2 linked regions of the Macaca fascicularis genome follow. The protein of the gene in region 2 interacts with the protein of the main gene of each other region in a biochemical or structural test. Links are inferred from orthologs where the notes say so. Each region holds a gene or a part of one and is shown on either strand. Other genes may lie near its edges. The genes, in order: LNX2 and GJD2.

Region 1 (4,575 bases), on a different chromosome or scaffold from region 2:
TTTTCTAGCTCCTGTGAGACACAACTATCCAACAACTGCATCATGGATCTCTCAACCATCCATTTAGCACCTCCTTAGATTGGTCCAAAACTGAACTTATCTCCCCTTCCACACCTCTACCATCAATTGTTTTTAACTGCTTCTTCTCATATCCTCCAACATTCCACTAGCTCATTAACGTCATCATCTATGCACTTGGAATGTGCTAGGTACCCTGCCAAAGGCATTACATGTGTAATTTCTCAAACCCTATTGAACAGGTATGACAATCATTTCCCAAATATTAGGAAATCAAAGTTCTGTCAGGATAGTAATTCTAAGGGTAAGTAATAGAATTAGAATTTGACCCGTTTTAATTCCACAGCCAGCTTACCCAGTACATGTCAATCAATGCCTGAAATCAAACAACCCAGGATTCATCCTTCCCCTCCCTTAAGCCTATCTAGTCACTTACCTGGTCCAGCCTCCTAGTCATACGCGTTAAATGCCATGTCGTTTCTCCTTCCACTGCCAGCACACTAGCATTTACTAAGTCCTTACTATGTGGCAATCACTATTCTAAGTAATATACATGTTTTTTCAAGTTCTATCCCCCAAACTCTGAGATGAAAAACCTAAGGAACAAAGAGGTTTCAGTGTATGACAGAGCTTGATTCCACCCCAGGTAATCTGAATAGAGAATCCCTGAGCACTTAACCCCTCCATTATAACAGCCTCCAACTTAGTCTCAATACCGCCCATCTGGAAGCCCACCATCCTCCAGATGCTGCAGATATCTTTCTGGAACGCGAATGTTATCATGACATTCTCCTGCTTAAAATTAGCAGCTCAGTATCACTGACTGGATAAAGTCCAAATTTCTTAATCTGGTATACAAAATCCTTCATTTTTCTGTTCAAGTCAATTCAGTAAATATTTTAGTGACCAATGTAAGCAAGAAAAGGTGCCAAGTGCTCTGAAATGAATACCATACATGTCCCTGACTACTACTTCCACCTTGGACACTGGGTCCTTCGGCCAGACAAGCCCATATGCAAAGCTCATAATACAACAGCCCAAAGATACATGCATTTATTTTTAAGTGGCCTGCGTGCTCCGTGCCTACAATGTACGATATCCCAAATCAATCTGAAGGCTAGGTGCCTACGTAACACCTATTCTTACAGGTCTCCAGGCAGAAATGCTCCCTAAGTTCAAATTACTTCACGGTAACTAGCGGGATAAAAGCATGGATCAATTTCCAAATGAGAAAACTTCTGGGCAAGAACTAACCCCTGCCATCAATGGCTGGCATGCAGTAGGTACTTTATCAGTGGCTAAATGAATAAATAATGAAAAAATGTCAAAGCTGATGAGAAGACGAGAGAAACAAGATATATGGAGAATGTAACACACAAGTGGGCCGAATTAAAAGTAATGTTATTCTACTTTGGTTCTCATTTGGCCTACTTTTACCCCATGGGAAAACTCACATGTGGGACTTGGACAAGCTTAAAAAGCCAAAACTTTGTTATTCATGGCTCAACAAAGCTTTGACAAGCCAAAAAGGATACCAGATTCCCGCTTCCTTCTTTACCTGCCAAAGTCCATTTTCTAAAGAGGTGTGGGGGTGGGAATCAAATCTAGCAAAGTAAATAAAATTGATCTACTGAGATCCAACTTCATCAGTGCTGCATCGAAGTACATGCAAAAGAAATATCAAAATCTGTCCTGGGAAGAAGGCCAATTTACAAGTAAGTACTATTGCCGCAAGAATGTGAAATTCTTAAAGGCAGTTCCAATAAGCTGGAGCTCACAAGTGTTCCTCCTCCTGCACCGCCACCGCTCTTCACTCAACTTTGTTTCTGATTTCTGTGATTTTAAAAAGGATAATAAATACAGCAAAGTCCATGCATAAGTGTACTTTAGCTCCTGGCACAAACGAACGTCTGGATTCATAAACTCAACGTAAACTGAAATACTAGAAGAAACACTACATGAGTCAAAAGTCCTTGTTTAAAACGTGGCATAAAGCTTTGAAAAGCGAGTGATGTATTTCCTGAACGATGCTTTGTGTGCAACTGGTTCCAAATCAAGATTCGCATTTTTAAATTACCCACTGGAATATGTCAAATCTATCTCCCACCCTCTCCAGCCTAAAGAGAAAGGTGAGAATTCACAGGCAACAGGCTAGGGCGGAGGGAACGATCTCTCCCTATCCCTTTGCAGAGGAACAAAATCCGACAAAGGCAGCTAGTGCCACTCGCATTGCCGACACCACACACACACACACAGGAAATTTAAACACTCACCCCACCTCTCCCTTCCCTTAAGAAGCAAACGACGCCAAGATCTGCACCGCGGTGGCCGGAACCAGCAAATGCTAACAGCCGGAGGCCGCCCGCCTCCAGGGCTCCTACAGGCGGCGGGCACCGGGCGCCGACTCTCCCTCCCCGACCAGCCCCACACCGGAGTCCACGCCAGCCCCGCAGCCCGGGCGAGCAAAGACAGCCGCGGACGACCAAAGCTCCGGGGCGAGCAGCGGCGCCGCTCCGGCCGCCTCCCGGGGCGCGGCGCTCCTCCACACCCAGCCGACGCCCGCACCTGAGGCGGCTGCCCGCAGCCGGGGAGAGGGCGCGCAGCGAGGCGGGCAGGGCAAAGTTACTCACTGGGAAAGCGCGGCTGCCCGGGCCGCGCACGGCCACCAGCTCCCGCTCTCCGCGGCCCGCTGAGGGAGCGGAGAGCCTGCCCGGCTCCGCTCCGCCGAGAATTGCCGCCGCCGCCACCGCGGATTTCCTGGCAAGAAGCAAACTCCGGCCAAGACTTCACTTCTCAACCGCCCCTGCTGCCTTCCCGGGGGCCAGCGCTAAGGCCGAGCGGCCCAACCCGCAGCCGGGCCAATCGGAGGTAGCACAGGGCGGGAGGTGGGCGGACCAGAGGGCGGCTCCACCTATCCGAGAGCTCGGGAGGCGGGCCAGAATTGGCCCGTCACTCCTGGGTTAGAGTGAGACCACTCCGCCCTCGCCGCCCGCCTCCCCCACCCGCCCCGGGCTGTCCCCGCCGCCCGCCTGATTCCCCTGCGGAAGCCCCGGGGGCTAGGTGCCTGTGCGCACCCCGGGCCGCTGCCAGGAGTGGCACTGCTCGGGAAGGAGTGAACATCCAGAGGAATCGCGGGGCGGGGTGGGGGGAGGCTAGGAGAACAGGTGGCGCAGGGAAGCAGAAACGTAGTTGCGCAGGACAGCTGGACAGCTGGAGTGGGGCAGGGTCGGGGCCGGCGGCTAGGGGAGAAGGGCCTATTCGAGAGGAAGCGCACCTGAGGGAGCGCGGCCGGGGCCGGGACGTGGGAGCTGGGCGGAGAGCGAGTCTGGGTGGCGAAGGTTGCCGAGGCGGGGGCTGGGCACCTGGGAACAAAGGTGAGGGCGGGTTCCGCAGGTGAAGAGGTTTGAAGAGCCACAGCGGGTAAAGGGAAAGGAAGTCCACAGCCGGAGAGGACGCGCTCTGGGGGATAGAAGGAATCCTAGGACGGAAAGGATGAGGTGGGAAACAGTTTTTTCGCAAACTCTCACTCCCCCAAAAGAGAAAGACATTTCTTTCTTGCCCTTTATTTGACCCAGTTGAGAATGCAACTGCAAGGTCCCCGGTGAGACAAATACCGCCTTCAACCCTCGTATTCTGTCGTGACTCATCTTGCACGTGACCTCCTCCCTCTTCAAGGTGTGTTGACCGACTAGAGCCTAAGCCTGTCGTCCCACAGAAGGCCCAGGAGGCCGGGGTCCCAGGAAGGGCCATCCTGGGTCAACACCGCCCCAGTGGGGGAGTCGGGCCTCTTTCGCCCTTGCCACTGGGAAGGGAAGTGATTTGGGGGCGGCAGGTAAAGCCCCGCTCCTTCACCATCACCTGGGGAAAGGTACCAAGGTTGAGCTGGCGCGCCCGCAGGCCTGTCTGGGCCTCGGGGTAAAGCGGCGCTGGCCCCACCCCCTGCCCCCACCCCCTGCCCCTCCCGCCGTGAGTGGCCTCGCCTGGTCGCCCAGGTGAGCCGCCGGGCCGCGAGCCACCGCCCACCCCGCGTCGGGGCGGGGCCTGGGGGCGGAGCCTGATGCCCCGCCCCGCGGCTGGGCCCTGCCGCGCCGCTGCGGCTCCTCCTCCCTCCTTCCGTCCTCCGCGCCTTCCGTCGGTCTGTCCTTCCTTCCTGCTTCGTCTCCACGCCTCGCGCTATGGGACAGAACCCCCGATCCGCCAGCACCACCTGAGGATCCGGAAACCGCCCCAGCGATGGAAGAGGACCAGGAGCTGGAGAGGTAACGGCCGAGGAGGAGGCGGGCGGAGCGGGCCGCGCCCAAGGGGAGCGGGTGGCCTAGGGGCACGCTGCCCGGCCTGGCAGTCGGGGCCTGACTCGGGGCGCAGAGAAGAATCATGGAGAGAGAGGTGGGGAGGAGACATGAATGTTTCAATTGAGAGACTGAGAGGTGCGCTAGCTATTAAGGAGGGAAGACAAGTTGGGAGACCAGAGTTAAGTATCCGAACTGCCCATCCCCGTTGGAACAGCAGCGTGTAAAATCACGCCCCGGGCCTCTGCTCCCTGAGGACGGTACTGGT
Region 2 (4,469 bases):
ACCTAGGGCCAAGGGGAGTAGAAGGGAAACCTGGGAAAACACACCAAGCTTGGGCTAGGGGATCACATTCCATCTGGAAGCTAACTGAACAATAGGATATCCATTCGTCCTCACCCTTGAACCTCCTCCGTGTTCAGAAGGAAACTAAGAAATGCATGCCCTAGTCCTAATGTTTCATTTACACTTCATCCCTCTCTCCATTGTTAGTGGACACGTTTACTCCTTTGCAGTGAAAGGCTGCTTTCTTGGGGTAAGGGTGTCAACCCTAGCAGAGGATTTCAGTGATCTTTCTGGCGGCGAAGCTTACGCCATGTGTTTAAACATCATTTTATGAAGAAGTACGCTGTGAGTGGACTCAGGGACATGCCCTGCACCTTTCTTCCCAGTCCCTGGGCCACCAGCTACCCAACCACCTCGGTTGTTCCAGAAGTGAAGGCTCACCATGGTGTGGCTTATATAATACACATAGTGCTATGATCCCTGTGGATAATTAAAGCTAGGTCCCTTTATATGCCTAGGACAAGTTAACAACCCTTTCACGGTTGTGTTTTCAAAAGGATGACAACTACTTTCCCATTGTACTTTTGTACATTTACATCAAACACTCCCAACTACAGTGCCTCCTAATACGGACCCCTGGGCTAATTAGCAGCTTACTGTGATTGTTTCAATTTTTCAGCGACCAATTAAGTAGTTGCTCTAGACAGAACTGACAACACAATGTGAATTTTAAAAACCGCGATCTGCTGGTTGAGGGGAGAAAGCCAAACCCAGTAAAGAAAGTGGGGGCAGGGCGAGGCTGTGAGTGGCTCTGTTTCTGCTAGCAGAATACTGGGTCTTAAATTCAGATTAAATCACAGCTTACCTGACGAGTATCCCCCGCCCTTCCCACTAGTAAAATAATAACAATAATTTAAAAAGAGCAGAGCATCTGGGTTACTGCAATGGGAAGCGAGACCTTTAACCATAGCCACCCTACTCGCTCATTGCGAGGCACCTGTTAGATGCGCTCTTGTACCCTGATCCCCATACAGAGAGACAGCTCCACACCTGCATTTACCCTTCAGCCTAAATGGATTCCCATCAAGCCTTTCCCACTTCAGTGTCGGATCCACAGAGGCACCGAACCGCAGCCACTCTCCAGAAGCACTCTCAGCCCCTCCGTCCCCTAAGGGAGATTTAAAAGTGGTCGCCCCCACTCGCCCTCCCTCAGCCAGCATCTCCATCTAGGGAAGGAATTTCAGTTGTCTCCCGAAGGCCAAAAGCGAAAAGGTGAGGGATGCACTGAGAGAAGAGAAGAGAACATATACCCAACTCACTCCCCTCCCCACTCACCCACGCGTCCGCTCCCGGCTCCCCCCTCCGCCTGCTTGGGTCTGGCGGTCAGGTGAGGTTACCTGGGCTCCCCGAGAAGCCCCGAGAGGCGCTGCAGTCCTTTTTCGAAATCGCCCCGCTCCCCGCCGGGCCCCCAGGACTCTTGCCCCTCTCCCCCCCGCGCGCGTCCCCGGCCCCTCGGGCTCCGACGCGCAGCGACAGCCGCACAGCGCGCTCTGCTCCCCTCCGCCGACCTGGCGTGACGCAGGCGGAGACTACTTAAGGGCGGATTAGAGGCGGCGGCCGCGGATCCCCGAGCCCGGCATTCGGCTCCGCGCGCTCAGCCCCGGCCTCGCAGGCTGCCGCGCCGGAGCGCCAGGTGCCCGCCGAAGTAGCAGGAACAGAGCCGGTGCCCGGACCCTCCCCCGGCCCCCAACCTGCGGCAGAGAGCGGCGCCGAGACCCCTCCTGGGCGGGCGAGCGCTCAAAGACCTGCAGGCTGCCACCCCGCCCCTCGTCCCGGCGTCCGCGGGATCCAGACCCGAACCCCGGACGGCGCCCGAGGTTCGTGCTCTCTCTCTGGACCGCGCCAACTGCCCCATCAGTCCGGACGCGTTTGGATTTCTTTCCCCATTTCTTCTGTTTTAAGTACAATAATAGGAAAGGGGGATTCGAGGATTTTTTTAAAAAAATGCTTTTTTAATTGGGAGGCAATTCACTCCCATTCTGGAGGTGCGGCCCGGGGAGGGGCCAGGAGCAGGAACGTGCCCGGTGCTGCCCAGTCTTTGTCTGCTGCCTCCGGATGCACAGCGATGGGGGAATGGACCATCTTGGAGAGGCTGCTGGAAGCCGCGGTGCAGCAGCACTCCACTATGATCGGGAGGTAAGGGCGACAAGCCGGCAGTCAGCGGGCCCCGTCGGGCGGCCCCGGGAGTCCCTTCTCACACCCGGACTGAATCCCCCGCTCCAACCCCCAGCCCGTCCTCTGCCTCCTCCCCATCGTCCTAAGTCAAGGCTCCGGTGTTCCTGGCGATGAGGGATTACTCCTGACCAACTGCCCATCCCTTCCCCATCAAGCACCACTGGGGCTTCACTCTTCCCACATCAGAAAAGAAGCCGCTGGCTCAGTCTTGGTCCCTCCACTCTCCAGAGTCAGAGCCAATCTCCATCCGGTTCCCTAAATAGAATCTACAAAGAAGGCAGGATTGCATTTGGACAGAGAAAGGCAAATGGGGAGATGGATTTGCTCTTCAGAGCAGATGCCTCTTTTCTCAACAAATAATTAGTAAACTAAACTAAACTTATTTGGCCGTGTAAACTTACCGAGCCTACACACCCAATTGCCATTTTTGTGTCTGTATATCTATGTCTCTAGAGTTCAATATATATAAATATATATCTTCATAGCCATCTGCTTATATAAAGCATTAAATTTAATATTCATGTTGAGAATAAACTAAATATACCCATGGAGTAGTTACATGTAACACACCCTGTGTGTAGACCTTGAAGCATGCACCGTCTGTAAAGGTATTCTGTGTGCATTTGCCATATCCAGAGTGAAGGTGTGTTTTGTGTTTCTATACATCCTATATAGAGAGATGAAATCTATCTGTTCCAAGTAGACTATGTCCAGTGTATGATGTTGTGTGTACCTGGGATCTCTATAATATGAAATGTTCCCAGCTTACCAGCACTCAGCAGAAAAGGAAGAGACAAAAAGCTTTCCCAGATTCCCAGTTCAGTACCAGCCGGGGATGGACAGCTCCCCAGTCAAACGACTGGAAAACATCAGCAAAGGGAAGGGAGGAGCAGGGGTTTCCTGTCAGTGACGCAGCCCGTGAGAACCTCTCTCCCTCCCTCTTCCTCTGCTCAGGATCCTGTTGACTGTGGTAGTGATCTTCCGGATCCTCATTGTGGCCATTGTGGGGGAGACGGTGTACGATGATGAGCAGACCATGTTTGTGTGCAACACCCTGCAACCCGGCTGTAACCAGGCCTGCTACGACCGCGCCTTCCCCATCTCCCACATACGTTACTGGGTCTTCCAGATCATAATGGTGTGTACCCCCAGTCTTTGCTTCATCACCTACTCTGTGCATCAGTCCGCCAAGCAGCGAGAACGCCGCTACTCTACTGTCTTCCTAGCCCTGGACAGAGACCCCCCTGAGTCCATAGGAGGTCCTGGAGGAACTGGGGGTGGGGGCAGTGGTGGGGGCAAACGAGAAGATAAGAAGTTGCAAAATGCTATTGTCAATGGGGTGCTGCAGAACACAGAGAACACCAGTAAGGAGACAGAGCCAGATTGTTTAGAGGTTAAGGAGCTGACTCCACACCCATCAGGGCTACGCACTGCATCAAAATCCAAGCTCAGAAGGCAGGAAGGCATCTCCCGCTTCTACATTATCCAAGTGGTGTTCCGAAATGCCCTGGAAATTGGGTTCCTGGTAGGCCAATATTTTCTCTATGGATTTAGTGTCCCAGGGCTGTATGAGTGTAACCGCTACCCCTGCATCAAGGAGGTGGAATGTTATGTGTCCCGGCCAACTGAGAAGACTGTCTTCCTAGTGTTCATGTTTGCTGTAAGTGGCATCTGTGTTGTGCTCAACCTGGCCGAACTCAACCACCTGGGATGGCGCAAGATCAAGCTGGCTGTGCGAGGGGCTCAGGCCAAGAGAAAGTCAATCTATGAGATTCGTAACAAGGACCTGCCCAGGGTCAGTGTTCCCAATTTTGGCAGGACTCAGTCCAGTGACTCTGCCTATGTGTGAGAGGGAAGGTTTCACAAAGGTCTGGGGGATGGCAAGAGCCCCAAGGCAGATGACTGCTCAGAGGTGGCTGTGTCCACCCTCATTTATGTGACTCTCACCATTAAGATGTAGGATAAGACTGGATAAAAGAAGATTTTGCATCAATGGGAGAAGAGGAAAAGTGGAACCATTTTCACATATCACCTAATTGGTTCCACAGAGACAACTGGGTCGAGTGATGAAATGGATGAATTGGACTTCTTTGGGCCCTTTCTGTTCATGGCCCAAGCCTAATCCTGATAACACTGAACTTGCACAGCTACCAAGTAGGACTTAGCCCTGCTGAGCTCTTTATTCTGGTGAATGATGTGAGTTGAGTACTTCATTGATATAAAATTTGTGACCT

Evidence for each region.
Region 1: the proteins of GJD2 (region 2) and LNX2 form a complex in vitro, tested with the Homo sapiens proteins (2 studies listed by BioGRID and IntAct, with this or other methods). The link is inferred for Macaca fascicularis from reciprocal best matches to the Homo sapiens genes GJD2 and LNX2.

The regions. Positions count from the first base shown.
Region 1 is NC_088391.1:7,597,766-7,602,340, forward strand, and holds the start of LNX2 (ligand of Numb protein X 2), read right to left. Parts: upstream 2,835-4,575; 5' UTR 2,649-2,834; intron 1-2,648. Other genes in the region: DNA-directed RNA polymerases I and III subunit RPAC2, read left to right, coding at 4,252-4,277; protein POLR1D, read left to right, coding at 4,252-4,277.
Region 2 is NC_088381.1:11,267,406-11,271,874, reverse strand, and holds the start of GJD2 (gap junction delta-2 protein), read left to right. Parts: upstream 1-1,621; 5' UTR 1,622-2,125; coding exon 2,126-2,196; intron 2,197-3,004; exon of another isoform or gene 3,005-3,109; intron 3,110-3,189; coding exon 3,190-4,084; 3' UTR 4,085-4,469. UniProt on the Homo sapiens protein: One gap junction consists of a cluster of closely packed pairs of transmembrane channels, the connexons, through which materials of low MW diffuse from one cell to a neighboring cell.